Schizosaccharomyces pombe: one gene and its partners. The protein of the gene in region 2 interacts with the protein of the main gene of each other region in a biochemical or structural test. Each region holds a gene or a part of one and is shown on either strand. Other genes may lie near its edges. The genes, in order: est1, ccq1 and tel1.

Region 1 (10,767 bases), on a different chromosome or scaffold from region 2:
AGCAAAATCCGTGTTTTTGGTTGACTTAAGTTGATGGGATTTTCAAGGATGGTCAGTTCATTATTAATAAATCTTGTACTTAGCGCAATCCTCATTGCTAAATTATAAACTTGGGTTTGTAATTTTGTACTGAAATCTCTAGGCTTAGGACCATGTGATTTAGCACCACCTCTTCTTATAGGACTTGAGGCATCGCCTACCCGTGCATGTCCTGTACCTTTTTGTCGATAAAGTTTTCGACCGGAACAAGTAATTTCATTTCGGCGCTTTGAGCTAGCAGTGCCTTGACGGTCATTATCTGCTTCATAAATAACGGCACGATGCAAAATATCTCGACGAAATCTTTCTTGCAGGAAACTTCCGGGAATAAGAAAAAGACTCGCGGGCTCCAACGACGGAAATTTATATCGCACCAAGTGCAACATTTTTGCTGTCATTCTGATTAGTTTGTGAAATGGACGACTAGTACCTGAAGAATGGATGTATTTTACTTTCAATTAGTCTAACACAATGTACTAAGTATCACAATGCATTTCATTATAACATATTGTGCATTCAAAAGTATCGTAAAGCGTAAAGTATCGAGTTCATTAAATTACGTTGTTTTATGCAACAGGAACTTTATGACTGTATACTGTTAGATAAATTAATGATATCTCATTCATTACCTAAAATAGAAGAAATAATTATTTATACTATGTGATGTCGTACATTAAATATTTGGAATTTGCTCATTCTGACACCTTAAATTGTTGTTGCAAATAGCACCTGTGTATTACAATAACAGTTTTGAGTACTCAATGCTATGCAACAAGTGGTTTAAGACTTTTAAAATCGACAAACCCTGAGAAACTAAATTAATACTAAATATAGATTTTTTGAGACAAGTATTTGCCCAGCTAATGCATGGAAACCTACTTTGTTTTACGAATGGTCTTTTGTGATTTGTTATTAGTTCACAATTAAGAACACACTTCGTTATAAAGTAACGTAGAAGAGACGTTAACCGTCTATGCAAAAATAATCGGTGTTATTTAACTTGGTTAGCTTTCATGGGATTGAAATTAAATATCTCTAACGATTTGAAAAAATCTGGATTTATGTTAAGGCAATCCTTACTTAAAACAAGTGTGTCAAATTTCCTTTCTTTGAATGCAAGTAGCACCATGTCTAGAGCGTTTATTCGAAATCCAAAATTTTATAGCACTTCCTCAAATGATACAGTTTTATACGAGAGTAAAAATGGAGCAAGGATATTTACTTTAAACAGGCCAAAAGTATTGAACGCTATCAACGTTGACATGATAGATTCAATCCTACCAAAGCTAGTTTCATTAGAAGAATCAAATCTGGCCAAGGTAATTATTCTTAAAGGAAATGGTCGCTCTTTTAGTTCGGGAGGTGACATTAAAGCTGCAGCACTTTCAATACAAGATGGAAAATTACCTGAAGTTCGCCATGCATTTGCTCAAGAGTATCGATTAAGCCATACGTTAGCTACATACCAGAAACCAGTTGTGGCTTTGATGAATGGCATCACCATGGGAGGTGGATCTGGTTTGGCTATGCATGTTCCTTTCCGTATTGCGTGTGAAGATACGATGTTTGCTATGCCAGAAACCGGAATTGGCTATTTTACTGACGTGGCTGCCAGTTTCTTCTTCAGTAGACTACCAGGATACTTTGGAACTTATCTGGGATTGACATCTCAAATCGTAAAAGGATATGATTGCCTGCGTACTGGAATTGCAACTCATTTCGTTCCGAAGCATATGTTTCCTCATTTGGAGGACAGGCTTGCAGAGTTAAACACGTCTGATATTTCTAAAATCAATAATACAATCCTGGAATTTGCCGAATTTGCTAGCAGTTCACCACCCACTTTTACTCCAGACGTTATGGATGTCATTAATAAATGCTTCTGCAAAAATGATACCGTTGATATTATTCGTGCGTTAAAAGAATATGCTTCAAACACTAGTGCTTTAGCGGAATTTGCAAAATCTACCGTTAAAACATTGTATAGCAAATCTCCGACTTCAATTGCTGTTACCAATCGACTTATTAAGTCTGCTGCTAAGTGGAGTATATCTGAAGCATTTTACTATGATCATATCGTTTCCTATTATATGCTTAAACAGCCTGATTTTGTTGAAGGTGTTAATGCTCAACTTATTACAAAGACCAAAAATCCAAAATGGAGCAAATCCCATGAATATCACTTTAAAGATTTAGAAAACTATTTCAAGTTGCCTTCAGAATACAATAATGGGATATCTTTTGCTGCAAAAGGAAGACGTAAAACTCCCCTTTGGAATTATAAGACTTATCCTTATTTATAATCCCAAAGGTTACATAAATTAAATATTGTTCTTTATGTCTACTAAGTTTTTTCAGTATTATAATAAGATGATTTATTTCAAAGACCCTGTTATGTTTTAGCATGCGATAAAGCACATAACTCTTTTTAGCAGCTAAAAATAATGATAGCCATTTTAAATACTCATACTAAAACTCTTTTTCGGTAGCTGTGCGTACGATAGTTCAAAAAAAAGAATGCTAACGGCATTAATATATATTCCATAATTCCCATATTGGATCAAACAATGAGAAAATAATTGACAAAACTGCCAAACGCATACCCAAAATATATTTTTATTATTCCAATTGCTCACGGCCTTACCATAAGCTTTTCTAGCAAAAAAAATTATATGATAAACTAAAAAAGCATGCACTTATGGCATATATTTCTGTTTACTGATGTCTCAAGTATTTTCCTACGATGATACAGTGATCACGTTCGTAAGGCTCTAAAGTAAGTTGTTCTTGAGGTTTAATCTTTTCCTCTTGCATTTTCTTAACCTCACGAGCAAAAACAACAGCTGCATCAGCGGTAGAATCAATACAAGAAGCCTTAACAGAGATAACAACTCCACCTTCGTTTTTCAAAAAGGCGGCGGCGTTCAAAGCAACGATACGAGCCTGATCGGGTTGAGCAACGTCTGCAAAAACAACGTCAACCATTCCGACTAACATACGATACTTTTGAACATGGCGAGCATCCTCAACAATGGGGATGACATTCGTGCGCTTTTTAGCCATGTTAAGAAGATCACGTCCAGAACGATGAGAAAACTCAACAGCGTAGACAAGACCCTCAGGACCAACAACATCAGCAACGTGAGAAACGGATGTACCGTTAGCAGCACCAAGATATAAAACACGTGCACCAGGTTTAATATAGATGTTGTCTAAACCGCCCAAAATACCTGCGGCAAGTTTAGAACGGAAAGGATTCCATACACGGTATTCAACTTTGGTACCATCTGGGGAATCAACGCTAATACGTTTTTCATTGTATACTGATTCACCAGGCACCAGATTGCGGGTGACAAGCAAATCTTCTTTTCCGCGAGCAATGAAGACACCTGCATGACGATGAGGCTCAATAATAACTTTAGCACCTCCTTTGGCTCCACCACGGCCACCGCTAGAACCACCGCGGCCTCCTCTGGCACCTCCACGACCGCCACGACCGCCACGAGCACCACCGCGTCCTCCTCCTCTGGCACCTCCACGGCCACCGCCGAAACCACCACGGCCACCATTGAAACCACCACGGCCTCCTCTAGAGCCACCTCGTCCACCTCTTGAACCTGGTGTATATGCCATTATTTTTTTTTGTGGTAGGTAATGGGTCTGTAAAATTTTTAGGATAGCAGAGAGGATTACAGTTGGTGTGACTACGAACACAATTCTGCAACGCTAAAAATTTTTACGAGTTCGAAACAATCTGTAAAACCTCTAGTTAACGAAGGTAAACAACGCTAAAGCTAACTTAATGACATTAGTAGCATCGCAGTGTTATTATTTGCAGCTCATAACTTCTCATTAGTAAGGTAAACATATGTAGCAAAAGATGGGTTCCTGCTGTTTGAAAAGCAATTGTTTTAGGTCTCAGCAACAAATTAGAGGTATTCAATATAATTCTTTTGAAAGATTGGTGAAGAGAATGAATAGACATCTCTACTTGTGTTCATATAATAATTACGTTTTGACAATCGAAGTAACTAAACTTAGAGTTACAAGAGGTAGTGATTTATTGTCAGAACCGTTATTAGTTGTAGTTCTTCCAACCTAGTACTAGTTCTTATACCTTATCATATAAACTCGGTGTGAGCTAACAATGCACTTAAAGATTGTTAATTAATGTACGAACAGATCTAGCTTTGACGTATAAAATAAATAGAAAAAGCTATTGCAGATAGTTATAGTAATAGCCGCTTACTTTTTGCTGGCTGTCCGCATTATCATTTTAGAAAAGCAAATGCTAATAAATAACACCACAGCTTCAAATAATGCGCGTACTAACCTAATACTAGCTATTAAAAAAGGAACCATGTAAGTAGAATATACTCACAGAATGATAAAAAATTACTTAGTATATTTTTTATACCTGCATTGGAAAAAAAAATTCAAAATTTAAAAAGACAAGAAAACAAATTGAAATTTTAAAGACAAATCCTAACTTAGATCCGCTTATTAAATATTTTATAGGATACTACGACGTAAATCAACATTTTAATTTTTTAAGCCACAATAAACTTACCAAACTATAAGCGAAATTATCATTCAGCGTCAATTTCTCATTTTTGCTCACATTGAACTTACTCATAATCTAACGAACACAATATAAATATCAATCACTAATTTCGCTACTCAAAATTTCTTCGTCATCTGAAGACAGATCCTCCTCATCAGTATATGCGTCTTCAGAGTCTTCTTCATCCATTTGGTTAAAATCGCTCAAGTCACCTTCTTCTAAGAAACAGTCAATTGCCAAGGGTATGATTTGATCTTTAAAGACTTCTCCCAATTGATAGTCGAGTTCTAAAAGCTCTGTTTTGTCATCCAAACCATCATCAGATTCATCATCGTCCAACTGAGGAGGTGAGAAAAAGTTGAAAAAACTGTCATTAGGGACCGTAGTACGGACCAATCTAGTTTGATTTGTTTTACGGTTACGTTGTTTTTTTGTCTCCACTCTAACCGTTAAATTTTTTTCAGGCTTGATCCAATTAATCTTATCACCCTCAGCATGATCATACAAAAACTCACCCGAAGGACTTAAATCATCTTTATAGTAATAAGTTTTCGTTAAAATCTTGTTTGTAAAGTAATCATTTGAGTCAAATTCGAATTCTAGTTTGTAACCATGAACATCTCCCGAAAGGTTGGTAAAACGAATGTCGCTGAGTGATCGCAAGACATTTTCATCTTCTGGTGTTATCATTTCGCCAACCAAGAAAACATTATGAAGACAAGTCAGCCAAAATTCGGGAATTCCCTTAGGATCTGGAAGATTATTTTGAAATATTTCTTCCTCGTGATCTAATTCGTCGTCCACTGGTTCAGAAACACCCTTGATAATTTCGGCTCTTCTAGAGAAAATAGGTTGATATTTTTTCTCGTATTTTGTTTCCAGATCTAACATTTTTTGACGAAATTCATATTGAATTGCATCACAATCTTTTTGAAGGCCTTTCAATGCTGTAATACGATTTTGGACTGCTGGCGCAAGGCTCTCTATATATCCCGACGACTTTCCAACCAACGAGCTAAGGCGTCCCTCAATCATTGATAACATGGCCGGATTGTTGCGCAATAACCCGCTAACTTCATCATGTGCTGATTTGTCCTCCAGTTGTGATTGCAAGGTTTGTCTAGCTTTTTCTAATGCGGCCTTACTAAGATGTACATCTGAAGATGGAGTATTTTGTGGCGTTTGAGCAGCAAACCCATTCCAAGACTTCTTAAAATCTCCTGGACCTTTAGACATATTTTAATAATGCAAACGGAGATTAAATTAAATTGGTAAAGCTTCGTTGTTGGACTGTGGATCTTCGTGAAGTCTACCAAAGAGATGTTGGGCCTGACTCGTTATTGCAGCTTAGCATATTTTAATGATATGTTTACAGCATTTTTCGTATGAGAGTCTTTAATGAAATATATTTATGTGTTTAGCGGCTATCATAGTTTGGGATAGTATTTGGGGTTTTATTTGGAAGAATATGTAAAATTAGAAAGCATCCGGAAGTTTACATATACGTTGACTTTTTTCTCTCCGCTTTCCTTATACTTTCTCTGACAAAGGTAATGGATTGTATAAACCAAAGGCGCTGCTTTCAAATTCTGATGTAGCTGTCCAAATAGCTAAAAAAAAAATCAATGAAATAAACAAATGTATATATCTCGTTTAAGCAAAGTGTCTACGCTATTCATATTAGTTTAACATATGTATCGTATCCCAATTATTAGTTGAAAATTCTATAAAAAATATATATATATGGATACTGATTAATAAACAACTCTACGTATCATATACTTCTATATTCATGAGTTAAACAACCTTATTGTAGCATTTGTTTACTAGTTAGTTGCCCACGGAGGAGCGAAAAACTATCGGAACATAATTCAAAAGTCAAACTTGTAAATAAAAATCTGCTATTGTAACGGTCATTGCTAACTTAAATAAACAAATCATAATTAATATATATAAATTTATTAGCGATCGTTCTGTAAATAAATAGAAAATGAGAATGAATAATCCAACAGAAAAATATATATATATATAGTAAATTAAAGAATAAAGAATAAACTAATACACTGTATTGAGTACTAATGGACTTGGAAACGAGGTAAATGTTTCACTCACAACACTTTCAAACAAATGAAATATTTTCTTACATTAAATTTTAGGTTCAAATAAACCAAACTGTTTTGCTTTTTAGATTTTTCATTCACATTTTATGATAAACAATGCGATGATACCAAATAATGTTACTTGTGTATGGTGTTTGTTTGCTACCTTGACAATTATTCTCTGATGCAACGTTTTTTCAAAGAGGTTTTCATTACTATACATTTACCCACTACGCCAAATTTGCTTTGAAAATGAATTTGACATTCAAAAATCTACAGCAGCAGAAATTTGTTATTTCTGATGTTTCTGCAGATACCAAAGTATGATAATTGTGGCATATTATTTTTCTAACGTAAACAGATTTCAGAATTAAAAGAAAAAATTCAAACGCAACAGAATTATGAAGTCGAACGTCAAAAGTTAATTTACTCAGGTATATAACATAATTTTAATATGTAAAATACTAATTTATAGGTCGAATCCTTGCTGATGACAAAACTGTTGGCGAATACAATATAAAAGAACAGGATTTCATTGTATGCATGGTTTCACGACCCAAAACTTCCACCTCTACTCCGAAATCAGCTGCCAGTCCTGCCCCCAATCCTCCGGCTTCCGTACCTGAAAAGAAAGTTGAAGCTCCTTCTTCTACCGTGGCGGAATCTACCTCTACTACACAAACTGTTGCTGCTGCTGCCCCTTCAAACCCAGATACTACTGCCACTAGTGAAGCACCAATAGACGCCAACACATTGGCAGTTGGTGCTCAACGAAATGTTGCTGTCGAAAATATGGTAGAAATGGGATACGAACGCAGCGAAGTTGAAAGAGCCATGCGTGCCGCTTTTAACAACCCTGATCGGGCAGTGGAATACTTATTAACTGGTATTCCCGAAGACATTCTCAATCGACAGAGAGAAGAGAGTGCTGCAGCCCTTGCTGCTCAGCAACAGCAAAGCGAAGCCCTTGCTCCTACTTCCACTGGCCAGCCAGCGAATCTTTTTGAACAAGCTGCTTTATCAGAAAATGAAAATCAAGAACAACCTTCTAATACCGTTGGTGATGACCCTCTAGGCTTCCTTCGTAGCATTCCTCAATTTCAACAGCTAAGACAAATTGTTCAACAAAATCCACAGATGTTGGAAACTATATTGCAACAAATTGGGCAGGGAGATCCTGCATTGGCTCAAGCTATTACGCAAAATCCTGAAGCATTTTTGCAATTATTGGCGGAGGGTGCCGAAGGCGAGTCTGCCTTACCTTCTGGTGGAATTCAGATTCAAATTACTCAAGAAGAATCTGAGAGTATTGATAGAGTATGTTATTTCTATTTTTTTGTTTTAACTATCTAACAAGCTTTTAGTTATGTCAACTTGGCTTCGACAGAAACATTGTAATTCAGGCTTATTTAGCTTGTGATAAAAATGAAGAGGTGTGTTTTTTTTTTTTTTTTGATTTATTGAATTATCAACTAACAATTGTAGCTTGCTGCTAATTACCTTTTCGAGCATGGACATGAATCTGAGGATGAACCTTAAAGCGCGCACCTTATAAATTATTGCTTTTCGCTTGAAAAACGCCTAAATGGCAACTAATTCAGCTCTTTATTGCTAGCATTTAGTTAAGGATACGGAATATTAAACAAAACAATGATATTTTTGTAATTGTTGAGTACAGGGTTGCTCCGAGCACAGCACATAAGTTGTTTTCAATCATTTGTCGTACATGTAAATATTATATATATACATATATATATTTTTTTTCCCTACTATTTTATTTGATAGAACCATATTTTTCTTTCTCTAATACTGAATTGTCATTACGCTTAGGGTTTTTGCATAAGATATCAAGTAGGAAGAAGTCAAGTGACTTAAGTGGTCTAATTTCCACGCTCAACGCTGCAGAAATACGTTTTTGATAATTTTTTATATTTTTCTTAAAATGTGACGATATTATAATTAATGTCGCAACAACTTTCAAGTAATGAAATTTGTGAAGAGCAGGGAAAGCTCGTCAAAGCGCTGTGTGAAGCAGCTCAAGGAGGTTTTAAGCATGATTTATATGAGAAAATTATAGCAATTGAAATTGAAGTTGAGAAGAAACTGTTAAATCGTCTAAAAAGTATTCAAACAAATACTTTTGAACGTCCAGATATTATATGGTCATGTTGCCATTATAAAATTATTCAACATTTTAGAAGTAGGTTTAGAGAGGTGAGTAAAAACTAAAGTATGGGACAATTATTAATTTTAAGATACATCCTCGACACGTTGTTGAAAAAAAAAAGACAAAAAAGGTTTTCTTTAAATTCTTGAAAACGTGTGCAATCTTTTACCAGACTTGCATAAGTGAACTAATATCTAAGTTCCAATTGGATTCATACAGACCGTTTTTTTGTAAATGGACATCATCAGCTACTGTTTCTTCGACTATTTCAAACGATGAAATGTCATCAATTCCTGAAGCTTCGTATTCAAGGAACCATATGGAGGCATTAGAATGCGTGTATAATTGTTTTATATATTTAGGGGATATGGCCAGATATTCTTCTACTTGCCTCAAAAAACGCGGCGCATATGATAGAGCTTTAGGGTTTTATGATTTGGCTCATCGAACATTACCCGGAAACGGAATGCATAGGAATCAAATTGCTGTTGTCTGGGCATCCGATGAATGTATAGTGGAGTCTATTTATTGGTTTTCATCGGCTTTATGTTCTGAAGACCCGCCCAAGAGTGCTTTGTTAAATTTGCTTAAACAGTTGATTGCATTTTACAGACGCTGTTTCGCTGTCCATTTTGAATTTGTATCACCCATGATGATTTTACTTTTTATTATATCCGACTGTTGCATACATTCGTTAAAAGAAATTCAGCCTTTTAAATGTCCCTCAATCATGGTCAAGGATTTGGAGAATTCATTATTACAGTCGAACATCAGAAATGTAGGATATGAAAAAAAAAATCTTTACTACATATCATCTGCCTTTTCAAATCTTTTACACTGTCGTTATTTCAACTGTAACGATCGTCTGAGAAGTTTCTATTACCGATTTTCTTCTTGGTTATTTCATCAAACGCTTGCTTGTGCTAAAGAAGTTGAATCAGAGCGTGCTCCAACGTCTTACTTAACTTCCTGTTTACCAAGTATTAAGGTGATACTAGCAAGGGTGCTTGAAAGTTCTCCAGCTTTTGGATTCATTGAGCGGAACGAATTAGAACAATTGAGTTATCATTTCAGAATTTGTGAAAAGTTTTTTAAAGAATCTTCAGAAAATAAAATGTTAAACCTTTTTGAGGACTACAATGAATTCGGATTATGCAAATCTTTCATTTGTTTATTTAAAAGATTGAACGAAGACATTATAGGGCCAAAGTTAAATATAAACCCACCCGACTATACTACTCATCCATTTTCGGAATCGATCAAACGATTTTATCAAATATCCAAAATACTAAATTTATTGCTTTCCTGAAGTTACTATATGATGCTTTGAATTAACAGAGAATGATAAGAATATAGTATTAATGAGTACTAATATAAATTAAAAATATTGATCGGGTGTAACGTTTAATGATACTTGATAAAAAGCTTATAATGTAGCTTTAGCCAATAAGTTTATCAACTCTGAAAGTCGAAGCTCTTCGTATATATGATTATTTTCAAGTGATAATAAAGGGTTTTTAGAAGCAGCTATAGGAATAGCGTGCCCATTAGTGTTTGTGATTTTACCATTTGTAAAACCAGATTGCTTATACTTACAAGATAATGCCTCTACGGCTTTTGAAAAGGATTTTGGTAGAGGATTTTCACCAGCGCATGGCTGATACCTATTTAGGAGGCATACAACTTCAAATGGCGAAAGTAAATTACAAACAGAGAGAATAACATCCAAATCGTTTGCATCGTTTTTACGAAGGCAAAATACCAAAGGAGACTGCATTAAAGGCAATAGTGACGAGTTAACATAACTAATACCCTTTTGATGACACCAGTTAATCAACAGCGAGGCATTATAGGAAACCTGAGAAGCAGATTTCCAAGTGTACGGTGACCGGCTAGAA
Region 2 (6,666 bases):
CCCAGGAAAAATTCATCGATACAAAACTACGTCTTGCAGCTCGCACACAGTATCCAGAAAGCATTTTCAGCGTTATTAAATTCTGTGTGGTGGATTTTGATAACAATAGAGTTGTCTATTTGAATGATGAAGACATTACATATGATGTTGTTGAAAAACTAAACGGTACATTGGCTTTGGATCGTGCTAAGAAAGATAGTAAGAAGCCGAATATACTCGACCGTGCTATTCAGATGAAAAATTAGTATTTAAAGGCTTTACAATCCTTGCTGGTTGTTTGGTCCTTACCTGTTGAGCATAAGGTGCATGAAGTTTTATACAGGTTCGATATTGCGAGCATAACAAAATGATATGAAGCATAAAAAATTATTTCATCAATGTTGATATTGCATCTTTTGAGGATGCATATTCGAATTTGATACAATTAAAATCTTTCAAAAACAAATTCAAAATTAATGACATAGATCATTGAATCTAGTATGTAACGAAATGTCTAACTTCTTGATGAATATATGAAGAAAACCAATATATTTTTGCAACTGTTGAAAAATTAATACAATTAAAATTGTTTCATTAAAAGCTGATTACGACATAATTTAATCAAATAACCGTATGACTAAACGAACTTTTTATAGTTGATTCCACTGAAGTTCTTGATCGTTAATGATTTAGTTAGAATCAATAATCCTTGGTGATTGATTATGTGGAGTAAATTTGGGAAGAGACTTCTGCTCTAAAATTTTTAAGGTCTCCTCCAGAGAAGAGACCTTAGCGAGTAATGCTTCTACCCTTGAATCATTATAAACTTTTACCTCTTCCATAACTTTAGAATTTATAGCTTGTAAGCGCTTACATTCAGCTTGAAGTTTCGCAACCTCTTTGCTTTGCTCAGCAGCAAAAGTAGATGCATTTTGATATTGATTAGTAATGAAATCAGCGTCTTCTTTCTGTGTTTTTAACAGTTGAGTAAGTTTGTAATTTTTTTCGTTGGCTTCAATTAATTTGCCTTGTAGATCTTCATTCGAAAATTCTTGTACATATTTAAAGCCAAATTCTTGTTGCTTAGCTAAGTGGGTAAGCTCTTTTTTAAGGTTTGCGATTTCTTCAACCTTCTCAACTTCTAGCTTTGAAAGGTCTTCATTCTTTTTCTTCGATTTCTCCAAATCCAGCTTGAGCTCTCGAACAGTGTTTCTGTATTCTTGTAAATTATCCGTCAGCTTAGAAATTTGCTGCTCCAACTCCTCTGAGCGACTTTGTTGTACGTTTTTGGAATTAATGGCTTCGTGTAATTCATCTTCTACCATTCTTAAACGACGCTGCAGGTATTGGACAGCTGCACCTTGGAGATCATAATTATTGGAAAGTTCTACCTCATCAGCTTCCTGTTGAGAAAAAAAGTTTTTCTTTAGTGAGCTTGATGACAGTAAATCGGTGGCATTACTTGTTAAAGAGTGGAGTTTGGAAGGTGATTGCATGCTTTGCGACGAAGGAAATGTACTATCAGATGATTTGACAAAAGTATCGTTCACCTGAGAAACAGAAGGCTGAGAATCCCTTGGTTCTGCAACCGATAAGCTTGCTAAATCCATTAGAGGAGGTAGTGGCCAAGAAGAGAAGTTTTCTCCATTTTTTAACCAGGTCGCAACATTTTTAGCAATATCTCGAGTTTTTTCTGTAATAGAAGAGTGAGATTCTGAGCCTAGGATTTCCTCAAAGTTCCCAGATTTCTCAAACAAAGTGCTCAAATTTGAAGCTTCTGAATTTTCCTCGGAAGAAGAACTAAGAGTGGCAACCACACCCACAATGTTCACTAAAAATGAGGCATTGTAAGATGATTGAAAACATTTTATGGCATGTTCTATAGATCCCAAGTGAATGAGCCTAAGGACAAGGCTTTGAATAGAGGGCAAGGAACTAGTGACACTCATGTATGCTTCGATATCATAAAAAATGGTTGCACTCAAATCTGGGCAAGATTGAAGAAAATGAGAAGCGGAGGGAGCCTTTTTGGACACACAAATCCAAATTGCTGGATGTTGGCTAGTCTTTGCATCCTCTTCAGCCCATAACTCAGCATCAATGTTTTGAGATTTTAGCCATTGAGTAAGTGTGTTTGCAAGAAATTGGTTGGAGATAAATAAAAAAAATGTCTTAGAATAAGAGGGGGAAAGATTTTTGAATAATTCTTGCAAAAAAAGAAATTTTGAAGAATTTTCGGCATATGAAGAGAAATTAGAAGCATCTAAAGAAACGTGGGAATTAGTGGATTCAGCAGCGGAGGGATTTCGAACTTCAGTATCATACAGACTAGGATGCTTTGCAATGTTATGAGCAGATTGAATAAAAAGACGTATTTTTTCTTGGATTCTTGAATCGCTAGGACCAGTACAAAAATGGTCAATACAAAAGGCAAAGTATTGAACCAACCGATGCATCATTTTCCTTTGAAGCGCAGACATTGGAAGGCCAATATCTAGCACGCTGAACGAGGATTTAGAAGATTTAGTAATAGATTCTTCCGAAGAATCAAAGGCAGTGTCATTTTGCAAAGGAATAGGAAATAACTGCTGGGTAGAAGGGAATTCATCGACCTCTTGAGTTAAAAAGTCATTTTCAGAGTGATCCAAATCAGTCCGTAAAAATTTTTCTATCTCTCTTTGTTTGGATGCAGGTTCTTCATTACGCATGCAACTTAGAGGCTCTTCCAATTTTCTCTTATGGCCTGCTAATTTTAGAAGCCATACATCTTCCAACGGGCTAGGGCAATCCTCTTTGGCAATCCATCTATTACTGGAATTCACCTCAGAGTAAACCTCGTATTTCGTATCACTTTCATTGATAATAATTGAATTCGTAAAGTCGTTAATTTCGCTCATACTGCCATCCACGTTAAAATTCAACAAGAAATTGAATGTTTAAATATTGCAACACGAGACCAATTTAGCGTCCGAAAAGAAATAATTTTCGCACGTTTAGAGGAATTAGATGGTCTAAAAAGAGTCTTTTATTATCGTTTTTACAAATAACCACCCAAATGTTGTTCCCAGAATTCCGTGTTCGCCTTTAAATTTGTACATATTTTTACGAAATACACTGTGTAGCGGAAAATGTTTACAGCATTTAAAAGAGCTCTAATTACTTTTTTTCATATAACAAATCTTTATTTTAATAAAGTAACGCGTCACCTCTCTATTTAAGTCTATTATGTAAACAAATATAACTATTCACCCATAACGCGTAGTAAATGTTATTTCTTTTTCAAATTTTGTGTTAAGGGGTTAACGATTCTTTATCTTTAGTCTTATATTGAAAAAACAGCTAATTGCAATTCATTCTGGCTCTTATAAGGACTTGGAAGTGCTTTCCTTCGTGAAGTTTGGAAAAACTGGATCTTAAGACTAATTGCTGGATTAACGCACGAAAAATTCCAAAAAAGTTTAAGGTGAATAAGAACATACGCCTGAAAAATATATAAAAAGTTTCAAATATCAATCTTTTAGATCTTTTTCTATTAGCGTCTTAAAACACAAACTACAGCAAGTATGAATCAAAAGATTGTGGGACAAAGTTAGCCACCACGGAATTTACGATTCGTGTTTCTATTACAAATGTGAGAAAGAGAAGCATCAATAATTGTCAGGACCTAGTCAAACACTTTTACACATGAGTATAATCTTAATAAGTATTTTATTTTTTAAGATTATACCTACTGAACTTTTGCTATAGATTAATTCTAAAATATTATACAAACAAGGTATTATATAGGAATGCTGTGCTGCGCTATCCTGTCGATATATCACCTATACTGAAAACAATAAAAAGCTTGCAGGCGAAATAACTCGGTATTAAACTCAGTGAAAATATTTTTTAAAAAGATAATATCAAACTCTTCTTTACTTCATCTTTAGGCATTTATCATATTGCCTCAATTGTCTATTGACTTTTCGCTTGAAGACACTGCATGTCCTTAACGACTTCATCCTCTACCAACCACATTTGACGAACTTCAAATTGCCTGGTTGGAAGTTTTTAATCTGACAAAATGGTTTTTGCAGATTTAGGGCGTCGTTTGAACTCTGCGTTAGGGGACTTTTCTAAGGCCACTTCAGTGAATGAAGAGGTATGTTTTATTCTATCGAAAATTTGTTCTCATACGGAGAGTGAGCCATGTCATTTATAAAAATATTTAATACATCTTTGCTTGATTTCTTCAAAAATTTTGCATTTGCCATGTTTTACACGCTGTATATGAACATCGTTTCATGCTTTACGAAATTTGTCGATAAGAAAAATCATCTACCACAGATATGCTTTTCTAGTTGCGTAGCTGGTTTATCCAATCTCTTATATATATATATCTTGATTGCATATTGGGATTATCTTCGTTTACATCGACGTTACCTTGACATGAAAATTTAAAACCCTTTTTAATAATGCAATGTTAGATTTTGGTTTCAAGTTACTAAAAGGGTTTACTTACCAAGCAACTTTTAGGCAGCTGAAGATTTTTTTAATGACCTCTAGTTTGTTTTCCCAATGTTCTGTTTTGATTAGGATATCTATCGTTTTAATACGAACCTTTACTAATAATTTTATTTAGCTTGTCGATACTCTGCTGAAAAATATATGTACGGCACTTTTGGAAACAGATGTTAATGTGCGATTGGTTCAAGAATTACGTTCAAATATTAAGAAAAAAATCAATGTATCAACTTTGCCTCAGGGTATAAATGGGAAGCGAATCGTCCAGAAGGCTGTCTTTGATGAACTTTGCAGTTTGGTTGACCCTAAAGTTGATGCTTTTACTCCTAAAAAAGGGAGACCTTCAGTGATCATGATGGTAGGTTTACAAGGCAGTGGTAAAACGACAACATGCTCAAAGCTTGCTCTGCACTACCAAAGGAGAGGTTTGAAATCGTGTTTGGTTGCTGCCGATACTTTCCGTGCTGGTGCTTTTGATCAATTAAAGCAGAATGCTATCAAAGCACGTGTTCCTTACTTTGGTAGTTACACCGAGACTGACCCAGTCGTTATTGCCAAGGAAGGTGTTGATAAGTTCAAAAACGATAGATTTGACGTTATCATCGTTGATACATCTGGTAGGCATCAGCAGGAGCAGGAGTTGTTTGCTGAGATGGTGGAAATTTCAGACGCTATTCGCCCAGATCAAACAATTATGATTTTAGATGCTAGCATTGGTCAAGCTGCCGAATCTCAAAGCAAAGCGTTTAAAGAGACTGCTGACTTTGGCGCTGTAATAATCACAAAATTGGACGGACATGCCAAAGGTGGTGGTGCTTTATCCGCCGTGGCTGCGACTAAGACACCCATCGTGTTCATTGGTACCGGTGAACATATTAATGATTTGGAGCGCTTTTCTCCACGTTCTTTTATCTCAAAGCTACTCGGACTCGGTGATCTTGAAGGTCTGATGGAACACGTTCAGTCTTTAGATTTTGATAAAAAGAATATGGTTAAAAATCTTGAGCAAGGAAAGTTTACGGTCCGAGACTTTCGAGATCAACTCGGAAATATTATGAAATTGGGACCACTTAGTAAAATGGCTAGTATGATTCCAGGCATGAGTAATATGATGAACGGTATGAATGATGAGGAGGGATCTTTGCGTATGAAGCGTATGCTCTACATCGTTGATTCAATGACCGAACAAGAGTTAGATTCGGATGGTCTTCTATTTGTTGAACAACCCTCTCGTGTTTTACGTGTTGCAAGGGGTAGTGGTACAAGCGTTTTAGAGGTAGAAGAAACCATTTCTCAGGTCCGAGTATTTGCGCAAATGGCGAAAAAGATAGGAGGAAAAGATGGAATTTTGGGTAAACTTGGTGGAAATCCAGCCGCAGCTCTCAAAAAAGACCCTCGTCAACTTGCAGCTATGCAGAAAAGAATGCAAGCCATGGGTATGGGGGGAGGAATGCCTGGCCTCAATCCAGGTTCTATGAACTTTGGTGATATTTCAAAAATGGCTAACATGTTGATGGGAGGCGGAGGTCCCGGAGGGGCAGGTGGTATGGATTTCAGCGGTATGCTCAATCAATTTCAAAATATGCAAAAGCCTCCTCGAAGACGTTAGTTTACTTCCCTCGTTATTATAATGTACTCACATATGGCATATTTTACTCTAATACCTTATTTACTGTTTTATAAAAATATATGCATTAAAAATTCATCGTCCTTCTCGTTTTCCTTTTTCTTTCCCTAATTACTTAACGTTTGCTTTTATAATTGTGTAAAATTTGTTTCTATTTCTACTGAAGAGCTAGCAAAGTTTGCTAAACCGTAAACGTGAAGCATCCTTGTATGATTGCTCTCGACAATTATTTGCAGATTTCTTAAGAGCTCGGTTAGCTTATGTTAATTGCTCTTGCTTCGTAAAATGAGAATTGGATTTATTGTATATTAATAATGGTAGTGTATTGAGAACATAGTTTTTTAGCCGATTAGGATTAAGTTTTGGGTTTTCTCATTCTATGCAATCACATGAAAAAGCTTCTTGAAAGTTTCAAATTTGTGCTTTATTAATCTAATTACTAGTTTGAACAATGAAGGATACCTAAAAATAGGCCAAAAGGCTTGTACGTAGAAAGCATAAATTAGAACTAACGGCAACTGGAAGCTATATTTGAACAGAATGCAGAGATGAACTTA
Region 3 (11,221 bases), 210 kb from region 2:
GATATAGTACTTGCGAAATGAGGCTAGATCGTCAGACAAGTCCAGTTGTTTGTGTGACTGTAGCAAGGAAAGTAGGACGTTTCTAATTTCAAGTAATAACTGAAAACATTCATGTAACTGTGATGACATTTGCTTATTCTCCTTAAGCAATTGAAGGATATCACAATTAAACTGAGACTGATTGCATCGTATTAAAAACTTCAAATCATAAGCCAAAGCATAAAATAGTAGACTATCGGGTTCCTCGTTGGGATTAATTAGTAATAATTTTTTGTTAATGTATTCTTCGAGGTGCAAATAATTACCGTAAATAGCGTAGTTATGCACTGCATGTAATACCTCAAAAACCAAACAATCCTTAGTAGTCTTATTGTCCAAAGAAAGTGGAGGGATATCCCATTTTTGCATCCGCCAAGCAGAAGCATACACTTCGTTGCTGCATTCATCAATAGCATCATTGGCTTTGAGTGAATCGATGTAAAATTCATTCAAGCTAAAGAATCCAGCGTTATTAAGAGTATTTGAAAACATCATCTTAGTCCCCTCATCTTCATTGCTTCGATACATATTTGCAGCATCGAGGTACGAAATGGCTAATGGGCTCCGCTTTTCATGCACCGCCTTGAGCAAAATATTTTTGAAGCTAGTTTCGCGTTTTATTCCGTAATAAGCATCCGGACAAGGCAGTTGGGAAAGAATGTCCGATAAAAGGGTGATGTCCAATTCATCTGTTTTTGTATTATGTATTGTCAAGAAAAGTAGACTCTGTTCATACAAATGGCAATCATAAGCAGTTGATGCTGCAACACTGTAATTAATGGGAACCCAGTAGTTTGCTTCAAATGGATTAAGAGCATGATGCCCTAATTGCCGACGAAGGTATAATAAAATATTCATGCAAGTCTTTCGAATACTATTTGTATTTTTATTTAACAAACCAGATAAGATCAGTTGTGTTACATACTCCTTTTGCTTTTTGTTGTTACCATTAAAATCAAACTCCAACAGAATCAAATGTATAATATATTGAATAATTGAAGTTGAAAACCCCACCATGTAAGTACTCAGCAATTTTAGAGAATGTGTTGTTGATGATTTTCCCATCATATTTAATAATTTCAGCGTCTCTTCCTTAGTCCAATTTGACAAAGAATCAAAATTTGTGGGTTGTAATTTTACCCATTGAAAAGAACCTTCCTCAGAAACAAGAGTCTTGAAATCACTATCGTAGATGATACTATCTTTTGGAAAATTTAAAAATTTTCTAAGCTCTTGGTGATTACCATTTTCAAAGAACATCCTAATGCAATCCTCAATGAATGAATCTAATAAAATGTCATATTTAAATAAAAGAGAACATGCTTTTTGACATATCAATTTCCAAATAATAAGTTTTGATTCTTCATAAGTTTTAGTATCGCATAATCGAGGATCGGTTTTGGGTATATAATGATTGAGATCAGCAATTTCCGGAGATTTGAAAAAATTCCAGCCCATGATGTCTGAAAAAAAGAGCTTCAAAGAGTCAGGAAATTCAGTAATATCGTATGCTTTGTAACATTTCCAAATTTCAAGGCTTAAGGAGTGTAAAACATTTCTGGGACAAGCATCGAGGACTTGCCAAAAGTAGAGACAAAGATAATTATTCATTGCGATTCTCTTAAGAAAGTGACCTCTTTCGAACAGTTTATTTGAAACCTCTATCCATTCATTTTTGGTTGTCATCACTGAACGTACAAAGTTTATTTGACAGCGTAAAAATCCATAACCTTCATACTCAAAATTTAGTAAAGCAGTAACGTAACCATCAAACCAAGTATAAAAATCTTGGATAGCCTCCATCTTCGTACCAATAGTGTTGTAGCAAAAACCCAAAAAGTCCATACAGAATTCGGCTAGTTGAAAGAAATAATCAAAATCAGTAGGTTTGAATTTTTTCAAATGAAAGCGCGCAATTCCTAATCCTAGTGATTGGGTACAAGGTATTGAGAGTAATTGTCTAGCTATCCTAAGTACTATCATTACCAAATAGTTTGAAGTGATAAAAGGATCAGAGAAACATAGAAAAGCACACAATCTAAAAGAAATAGTAACTTGAAGTTCTTCATCCGTCGCAAAGTGTAGTTGTATTGCAAGTCTCCTTAAAACTAAATCAATGACTGAAGGGATAGAGGAGAAGCCCTCTAATTCTTGGAAGAGTCTATTGCAATACCATAACACAGATTTTGTAGAAAAGAATGGTATCGCTGTGCTATTGTTAAAAGAGACGCGATTGGCAAAAATTGTTAATTGTGAGTACACCTTAAACGAAGTTGAGCTTATAGATTTAAAAGTAGAGCCTAATTCTTTAACCTCTTTAAGCATCTCTAAGCAGAACAAAAAAGCTTTGGAGCGGTTGAGTAATTCCACATCAAGTGCTTCATCAATAGAATTAAATCTCAACGAATACTTTTTATTCTCTACTTCACTTAGATGAGTATAAGTTGTTATAACAGGGATCAATTGCGTATACTTTTCAGAAAAATCAACAGACATGCGTGAAGTAATGAGTTTAGCCAAGGTTATATTCTTAGTCAGAATAAGAACAAGTATAATTTCGTCGCTGTTTTCTTTTAAAAAATCGGAAAGGCTGAAATAAATTGGTTTGTAGGGGAATTCTAGAAAGTCATTGGTTGTATTAGAAAGATCTTTGCTGACGAATGACCAAAATATCTCTAACCTGTATATTCGAAACAGTTGCTTAATATTTGCACTCTGAATGTGAAGCTTACGAAGCAAAGGTTCAAAAATAGTTGACGTTTCATAGCTGTTTGCAAGCTTAAGCAGCTGATACAACAATGCTGATCGATTGGAACTTATTGACAAAAAAACCTTTAAAGTCAAATATAAATAGCAGAAGCCTTTATACAATGACTTCTCAATTTTAATGCTTAAAATTGGGAGAACAAAACCTTCAATTAACGTTTTATCACATTTTTTAAGAAAAATCACCAAATCGTCAACAAAGTTATAAATAACACAAACATCAGAGTCTTTAAGAGTTAAAGAAATCAATTTTTGATAATCGAATTTTGAATAAACGTGAGATGTAGGGGATAACTGAAATATAAATTTTAAAAAAGTTTGTCTACCAGATAATGATGAAAATTTAGTCTCAATAAAAACCTTTTCAATGAATTTTGTAATCTTCACAATAAGTTTCAAAGTTGCGTCCGTGAACTGAAGTTTAGAATGAACACATTTTTGAAATATTTTAATAAAAATCATTAGATAGACTTCGTCTCTTTCATAATCATAATTCATTAAAATTTTTTGAGCCAGTATTTCAAGACATTTGTAGAAAATAGGTTCGGATGTCCGCGCAACATCTAGGAAATATGCACCAATTGCAGACATACCAAAACAAAAAGTTTCAATGGGATACAAATGAAGAATATTAATTAAGCTGTCATGAGGATGACTAGAAAAGTAGTCGATATATTTTTGTAAAATAAAAAGATCAGTATTCCGTATTTGCTCAAGCGATCCTTCCATCAAACCAAGTATTTGATGATTCCTGATTAAATTTTCTGGCCGATAAATATCTTCTTCCTCCTGGGAGAAATACTCATCGTGATCAAATTCTTGAGGCTTTATGAATACGTTTTTAGAAGCCATATCCATTATATAAAGAACCAAGGTTTTGAGCGGATTACTGTCTCGAAAATGAGTTGAACGAATTAAGTCGCTTCCAATTTCATACCGAAGATGTTTTGGCTCATCAGAAATAGTAAACTGCAAATTAGTAGAGATGCAATTTATTATTGGGTCATAACTGTGATTAGACTTAACGAAAGAAAGGACTTCAGGGAATAAATTTTTAAAAATGACAAGATTGTTAGGAGTAACATTATGAATACCTTTTTTCTGGATAAAACAATTTAGAAAGCCACATAAAAATGATATCTGAGAAAATATCATAACTGCTTCGAAGCTTGGGGTTTCCTTGTCAAGCTCATCTTTGTCATAAGATGCTGAGCTAATTTCGTCTATCGAGCTCTCCAACATTTTAATGACATTTTGCAAACTATCACAGTCAATAGTATGGTTACTATTGAAAGGATAGCATCCTTCTGTAGACTGTTTACATATTTCGTCAGTAGTATAAGGAAAACGAAGCGTAACAGGCGACCATGCTTCTTTGAGGTGAAACAAATTACGTTCGAAAGGTGATCGTATTTCTGTGGTGATATAAGATAATGACAACGGTCTATAGAAGATCATCATTAACAAATCAAAAATGATAATAGAAGAATCGGTAAATGAGAAAAATGGTAGTTCACCCTCTTTGCTGAACAAATGATATAGATGCCACTTCAACCATTTTAGAAACACAGATTTAAAAGAGCTTTGACCAACAAATAGGTTTTCATTAAGTAATATGTACAGAGATTTCCAGTAATCAATGGCTTCATATGAAAGCATTGGCGAGTAATCATTAAATAAAATAAACTGTTGCTTTATGAAAGGAAAAATGCTCGCGAAGCACAAAGGCCGATACATGTTAAAATAAGTTAAAATTTGATAGCATACAGGAGACGTAACAGAATTCAGGAGACCACGAGAAGCAGCAGCCAAAATTTCCTTTTTACATGAAGTCGTAAGCATCGAAGAGTAAGCTTTGTTGTAACAAATGTTGAACAATATAAAAAAAGACCAGCTTTGAAGTTCATTTTTTTTCTCAGTAAAGTTAAGACTCATTTTTTGAATTGACAATAGATCATCGTTTGTTAGATTGTCAGAAATAGCAGTGATAATTACCATGAGTTGCAATGAAAAAGAGGAAGCCGAGATATTGGCTAGCTCAGCTTGCAAAAGCAGTTCCTCTATTTGAGAACATGTTTTCTGCTTTTTGTTGGCTTGCTCCGTGCTTGCTAAGGACAACACGGTTTTTTTGAGGAGAATTAGTTTTGCAAGAAAAAAATAAATAAAGTAAGATTCAAAGAAAGAATTATGTCTAAGAGAAAAAAAAAGGTGTAGCCGTGGATCGTAAAGTTTTGCAATGTTGTTCTTAGGCTCAACTGTATGGAATCTAAAATTCGCAAGCGATAATGAGGAGCGTTTTCCAAAAAAATTTAAGAAATTTTTTAAAGAAAAAAACGAAGAGTTAAGAAGATCTAAATTAAAAGATCTAATGGAACGATGGGGATCCCATGTTTCTGAATTGGACCAAAGTGGATAAGAAATGGCTAAGCATTGTATAAGCTGCAATCTTAAATCCAGACGCTTCCATTTATCAGAGTTTATAAGAATCTTAAAGACTAATAAAACAACGCTTGCGGAATAATCATTACAATTGGGGATCGCATATGCACATAACTGAAACAAACACTGCAAAGCTGGTAGATGCGCATCTGTTTCTTCCGTGTAAGCATAAAAAAAGAACTCAAAAAATTTCAGCAGTTGCTCACTAACAAAATTAATTGGAGCCGCATACCATTGAACAAGAGAACGCATAACGTAAATGAGCTCAACGACTTCTTGCTTTACTCTTATAACATCGTGCGATTTCCAGATAGATATTTCTTGATAGTTTTTTTGGCTTATTGGCTCTTCTTCACTATCACTAACATAAGTTTCTTCAGCTATACTTAGTTTTTCAATAGCTTGACAACAATAGGAAACTAGTGATTGCCAATCCGAGAAACGAAGATGATGCAAATGAGGAGAATGGGATAATAGTAGCCGAAGAGCCTTAGAAAAATTCAAACAGACTACCTCACATATAGAACCATTAGCTGTGAAAGTATGTCTTAGAATTATATCTAGAAGCGCTAAAATATGAGGCTCCCTAAATAATAAAATATAAGATTCAACACATGTTCTTAACAAATAGCTAATATCTTGAAGCTTCTGCTCTTGGGAAGCTTTGGAAATTTGACGTTTACCATGATTAGCAGAAATTTGCCATTCAAGTTCGAATGCTCGCTTTATGGCCTTTTCGATTATTAAAGCATCTTCCTGATTTAGCGAATTTCCATTTCTGGAGTAAATTATGTAGCTGCGAAGATTTTGTAGAGCATCTGATCGTGTTTTGATTTTTGATGAAGACAACTTATTAACGATGTCATTTAGAGAAGTCATAGTATTACATCGAGTAAAAGTTATCTTTTCTTCATTAATATATTAACATATTTGGCGTAAACTGATAATTGAGTAAAAGGTTACGCGTCTCCAACTTTTGGAATTTGGAAGGTTCATTTAGCGTGTACGAATTTTACAGATGCCAAGTTATAAATTGAAGTGTGGTAATTCTTCTTATTGAAACTAAAAAGCACGAAACTATCAACTATATAAGAAAAAAGGAATTAAAACAAATGATCTTCTTTGGAAATATCAATGACTCTACTGTTAGCTAAATATGTACAGTAATAGTGGATTTTCTTTTTTCAGCACCGAATTATTCAAAAGCCCTCTATTAAAAGTTTTCAAGGCTGTAAAAAAAGAAATCATAGAACTAGCTCAATTGCGAATAAAGTATAAGAGAAAAGAGTGAAGAGGTTTCGAGAGCTTAAGAAAAACTATTCTATGCTATCCGCGGTGATAAACGAAACAGCGTCGCTAAATGAAGCCGTAGAAACATCTCGTGCATGCGAAAAAGCTGGTGTTTCTGAAACACCGGAACCAGATTTGGGAAGAAGATCATTCTCGGCATCGAGCCCAGCATCAGCTTTGGTGGATTGAGCAACAGGAATAGAGTCCTCCTTTTTTGTAACAACAGGCGTCGATTCCTCATCTTCAACGATAGAAACAGGCCCCTCATCTTTGACAACGGGCTTAGGATTCTCAACTCGTCTTTTTTGAGGAGAGAGCTCATCAGCACTATTGGTTAAAGTCTTTGGCTGTCTATCAGTATTTACAGTTGGAGTAACAGTTGGAGAAGATGAACGATTTGTCAATGAAGGACGTACATACTGTTGCATTAATTCAACATATTCCTCTCCACCCTTCAAATCCCATTCGCTTGTACCTATTTTAGATCCCATCTTCCTCCATTTTTCCAAGATGCCAAGACGACGTGACTTGCACAATTCCACCAACTGGGGCCAGTACTTCTCATGATGATATTCAAAATGAAGAGATCCACCAAAATTCGAATCTAATTGATCCTTAGGGACATAACGATCCAACGGTTCATTGAACTTTAACTTCTCTCGTGTAATAGGGTCAATAAATGGAGATATCAATTTAAAAAAACCCCATACAGCCCAAGGAATATTAATAACAAGTGCTCTTCCAAGACGCTCACAATAATGAGTTTGCAAAATATTCAGTACCTCTTTACCTTGACCAACGCTGGGATTTGAACGATTGGACGAAGACTTGAAATTAATCAACAAAGCCAATGTCTCTACTCCTGGAGGCATAAGATCAATAGCACACTCCAATGAAAAAACCAGATGCCGAATCTGCAGTGGTGAGGTTTTAGTGTTTTGCCTAGCTGGATATAGGTATAAACAGGGACGACCGTCCTTGTCGTAACCTAGCAATACTTGCTTACCAGTTGCATTCTCCTCTTGGATTTCATCAGGATCCATATTATTAACACCGAAGTGACGACGCCATACCAAAGTATCAACAATACGCTTTTTTGCATTGGAAACGTGCCATTTAGTAGCACGCAAATATCTAAGGATGCATTCGCGTGTTAGCCAAAGACGCTCCAACTCAATCAAATCCGTTTTCTTGCTAGAATTAGACGCTACAGGAATCTCTTTTAATTCCAAACAATATTTAAGTACTTCTTCATACATTTCTTCTTGTTCAGAAGTCAAATTCCGATAAGTGGGAGCCATAGGACAATTTGCATCAGGATAAGGAATTGGTGCATTCCAAGTACCATCAGGATCTAATTCCTTAGGGAACTCAAAAGATGCTTTAGACTTCAAGGCAGGACTGTTCTCATTTGCTTTAATTGGCGATGCTACCGTTGACTTAGTAGAGATAATAGTAGATTTATTAGGAATGTCAAATGATGCAGCTTTTTCTTGAAGCTTTGGAGCAGCTTTAGCAGATGCTGCTGGTAATACCTTATTAGGAGTAGAGGGCGCTGTACTGCTGCGTCCACCTTGGAATTTGGGAGCCACCTTGGGACTCATCGCTGGCAACACTTTACTAGGGGTGGAAGGGGCTGTAACGCTATTGCCACCCTGGAGCTTCGGGTTCATTTTAGGAACTGTACTTGGTGGCACTTTTCTAGGAGTAGAAGGTCGTGTGTCAGATATACTTTCGCTATGCGGTTCCGGATTTACTTTAGGACTAGTGGTAGTTGGCAACGGCTTTCTCGGAGTAGATGATTGTGTCTGAGAGTTTTCTACCAAGGATGCTTTACTGGAATTATCTTGACTTGAGGGATGATCTGAGCCGGATTCTGGAATTTTGTTATCAGTGCTCAACAAGCTTGGGGGGCTATTTTGCACCACCTTCTGTTTATAGAATTGGCTAGGAACGATAGTGTCATACGAAGAGACAGATTGTCTTTGGCGCTGCATTGTCCCAACGATTCCTTCAATGTCTCCTTCAGAAGAATGGAACTGAAAATGCCTTTCATCAGTGAGAGGGGCATTGGAGGCATGTTCAGTTTTCATCGCATCCTCAGTCACGGCTTTTTCATCTGAAATAAAACGACTAGAGTCGACGTCAGTTTCTTTAGCGGCTTCATTTACCGAAGCATCGCCTAAAGAGGTATCTCTTCCGTCACGTTCCAAATCACCAACAACAACTTCAACGTCTCCGCGAAGTGAATGAAACTTGTAATGCTCTGTGTTTGTAAGCGAAATTTTGGTATTTTCATCACAAACAGCTTTTTCAGATTTTGCAGGGACATTAGCAGATACAGGATGCTCAGTAGGTTGTTTTTCATCAGAAACCGTCTCACTGCTATATGCTACTGCATCCGGTGATTTTAGCGGATTATTCGCAATATTTGGATTAACTTTCTCAACTCTTTTTTCAGATTCCGTAGTAGAATTAATCTGATCGACATTAAGTTTGCTATCAGATTTAGCAGCAGCTTCATCGACATTTATTTTATCATTCATATCTACATTAAGTCTGGGTGTATCTGAATCATCGGGTGTAATTTTTGGTTCAGCGGCAGAATTACCTTCGGAAACATCTACCGTTGGAGCTGAACTACTCATGGCTGCATCATTAGCTTCAGCTTTATCAGATTGGACCCTGCGTTGAGCGACCTTTCTTTCACCTTCAGCATTACGAGTTTTTTGGTTAGCTGCTTGAATATGCTGCAAGTTGACTGTATTTCTCATCTTTGAGGCAGGAGATGAAGAAGACCCTGTTTTGGTATGTACAGTAGGATTACCAACAGGTACAGATTTTCTGACCTCGTTCGAAGTGGAAGATGTGCTAACATTAGGGCGAGCAGGACGCACATTAGAGGCGGGTCCTTTGGCAGCAGTATTTTCTCTTTCATGAATACTGCTGGTATTGCTTTTATGCGATTTTCCTTTTGACTTGCCAAAACCAAGTTTATGGAGAAACTTACTAAAGCCGTTGTGGCCATGATGGTGATGTTCCGAATCTTTCATCGTGGTTTTGTATCGATAAAATTAACGAATGTTGGTTTTGAATAAACTATTAACAGTTTAGATTGCAAAGGGTATTCTTTTCACCGTAAAAGAAGAAATATCAAAGGAAATTAGAAATAATGGAATTAAATGAAAAAAGGTATTTTCCCAAGACTTAAATTACTATAGGGTTCGAAATACTTAACTCTTTTCTTTTTTCTCTATTTTTAGTAAGAGATCTCGATGGTTTACCATGAATTCCAGGATATCTTTTATCTCTGTTTCGACCAATTTAACATGCAAGCAAGTTAGATTATATTCAAAGAAACGTGTCTGATCTCTAAAGATAAGGCGCAGACAGAAATGCAAAGAACAAATGTCAGATATATTTAGAGTATTTCAATCGGAGCAATTCCGAAACAATCCAACTTCTGCATATGCACGTTTTCTAACGTTATTTCTCTAACAATCTCAATAACTGCTAAACAACAGTTTTAGCAAAAAAGTTTGTAAAGGAAAAAGTAATATAATAATTCTCAAAACAACCAATTTTCTTTAGGAATAAGCGATATTCAGCGTAGTACCACTAGATATACTTGCGTTGCTCGCTTTGTATATATATGGTAGTTGGATTGTTACAATGGCAGGGTGACTGAAGGATGAGCAAACGTAAGAAACACCGGTATGTACCGTCTTCGGAGCCGAATCGTCCGCGATGAGCATCTCAAGGATACACTAAATAAGATAGTGCGAAAAAAGGAGAACGTTATATAAAAATACTCAAACAAGAATCAAAAAAAGTGAAATAAACGATAGTAAAATTCATATTTGTATTAGCCAAAAGGAAGAATCATTATAAAAGAAAAGCTTGAGTTTAGAAATGCAATAAAATATGCAAAAACCAAAAGAAGGAAGCAAGATTCTGCGCGTTTATTCTTCCATGTTTATTTGTACTGTGCATGAGAAATGAAAGAGAAATCTGTGTTGTATGATCCATAAAATGTTTCTTATTCAAAAAAAAGTGAGTTATACTTATGACTGAATAGAACGAGTTTCTGGTATACCTCCATATCTAAAGGAACAGGAAATTAGTTAATCGGTCAATAGAATGTAGGACTTAGCAGAAGCAGAAGTTCAAAGGACTTCCTTATTATTTTTATAAACACAACTTACCAATATCAGTGCCAAAATCAACACAGGTTAAAAGCTGCACCGAAGAATCTGGTTTGACAGAAACGACAAATTCATAGAAATGATTGGGTTCAAGAGTGTTATCCTAAAATTAGTTAGATAAAATAAAAAAACTCTGAAAACCGATTGTAAAATAGATAAAACGTACCACAGTGAGGTGCATATCGAAAGAACCGTTGGAATCGACTTTTGCAGTTTCACCTTCAACTTGATTCGCCTTGCCAACAATCCGAACCGTTTTTCCAGAGCATTCTGGTAGCATATCTTTCGTAACTCGAGGTGTAGGGCGTTCCATATTATTTTATACGCGTTGTTTATAAAGTGGTGGAAGTGAAGTATGTATCAGACCAGGTAGTTAACTACTTGTTGACACGAATTATTTAAAATATTGGAACGCAGTACGTTATGTATTATATGTTGGAAGGCGCTGGGATGTAAATAAAAAAGCAAAAGCGTAAATATAA

The links.
Region 1: the proteins of ccq1 (region 2) and est1 interact in a test that uses a peptide from one of them, tested with the Schizosaccharomyces pombe proteins (one study listed by BioGRID).
Region 3: of the proteins of ccq1 (region 2) and tel1, one has a biochemical effect on the other in vitro, tested with the Schizosaccharomyces pombe proteins (one study listed by BioGRID).

What each region holds. Positions count from the first base shown.
Region 1 is NC_003423.3:2,980,010-2,990,776, forward strand, and holds est1 (telomerase regulator Est1), read left to right. Parts: upstream 1-8,576; 5' UTR 8,577-8,664; coding exon 8,665-8,916; exon of another isoform or gene 8,917-8,957; coding exon 8,958-10,178; 3' UTR 10,179-10,267; downstream 10,268-10,767. Other genes in the region: yml6 (mitochondrial 54S ribosomal protein uL4m), read right to left, coding at 1-437; snr1 (mitochondrial 37S ribosomal protein mS47 ), read left to right, coding at 1,053-2,342; fib1 (fibrillarin, rRNA and histone methyltransferase), read right to left, coding at 2,755-3,672; nucleosome assembly protein Nap2, read right to left, coding at 4,700-5,839; UV excision repair protein rhp23, read left to right, coding at 6,955-7,023, 7,064-7,136, 7,178-8,019, 8,067-8,135, 8,188-8,241; myo51 (myosin type V), read right to left, coding at 10,296-10,761. UniProt on the Schizosaccharomyces pombe protein: Directly involved in telomere replication. Associates with telomerase and during its interaction with trt1, telomerase activity is promoted.
Region 2 is NC_003421.2:1,482,513-1,489,178, reverse strand, and holds ccq1 (shelterin complex HEAT repeat subunit Ccq1), read right to left. Parts: upstream 3,040-6,666; 5' UTR 2,877-3,039; coding exon 669-2,876; 3' UTR 501-668; downstream 1-500. Other genes in the region: ubiquitin hydrolase Ubp5, read left to right, coding at 1-245; signal recognition particle subunit Srp54, read left to right, coding at 4,043-4,120, 4,601-6,091. UniProt on the Schizosaccharomyces pombe protein: Component of the meiotic bouquet that facilitates meiotic nuclear reorganization of the telomeres to the centrosome. Links telomeres to the meiotic centrosome component pcp1. Essential for the formation of normal telomere clusters during meiotic prophase.
Region 3 is NC_003421.2:1,271,313-1,282,533, forward strand, and holds the start of tel1 (ATM checkpoint kinase), read right to left. Parts: upstream 6,230-11,221; 5' UTR 6,124-6,229; coding exon 1-6,123. Other genes in the region: pdr16 (sec14 family protein), read right to left, coding at 6,561-9,587; DNA replication factor A subunit Ssb3, read right to left, coding at 10,574-10,638, 10,740-10,842, 10,906-11,052. UniProt on the Schizosaccharomyces pombe protein: Serine/threonine protein kinase which activates checkpoint signaling upon genotoxic stresses such as ionizing radiation (IR), ultraviolet light (UV), or DNA replication stalling, thereby acting as a DNA damage sensor.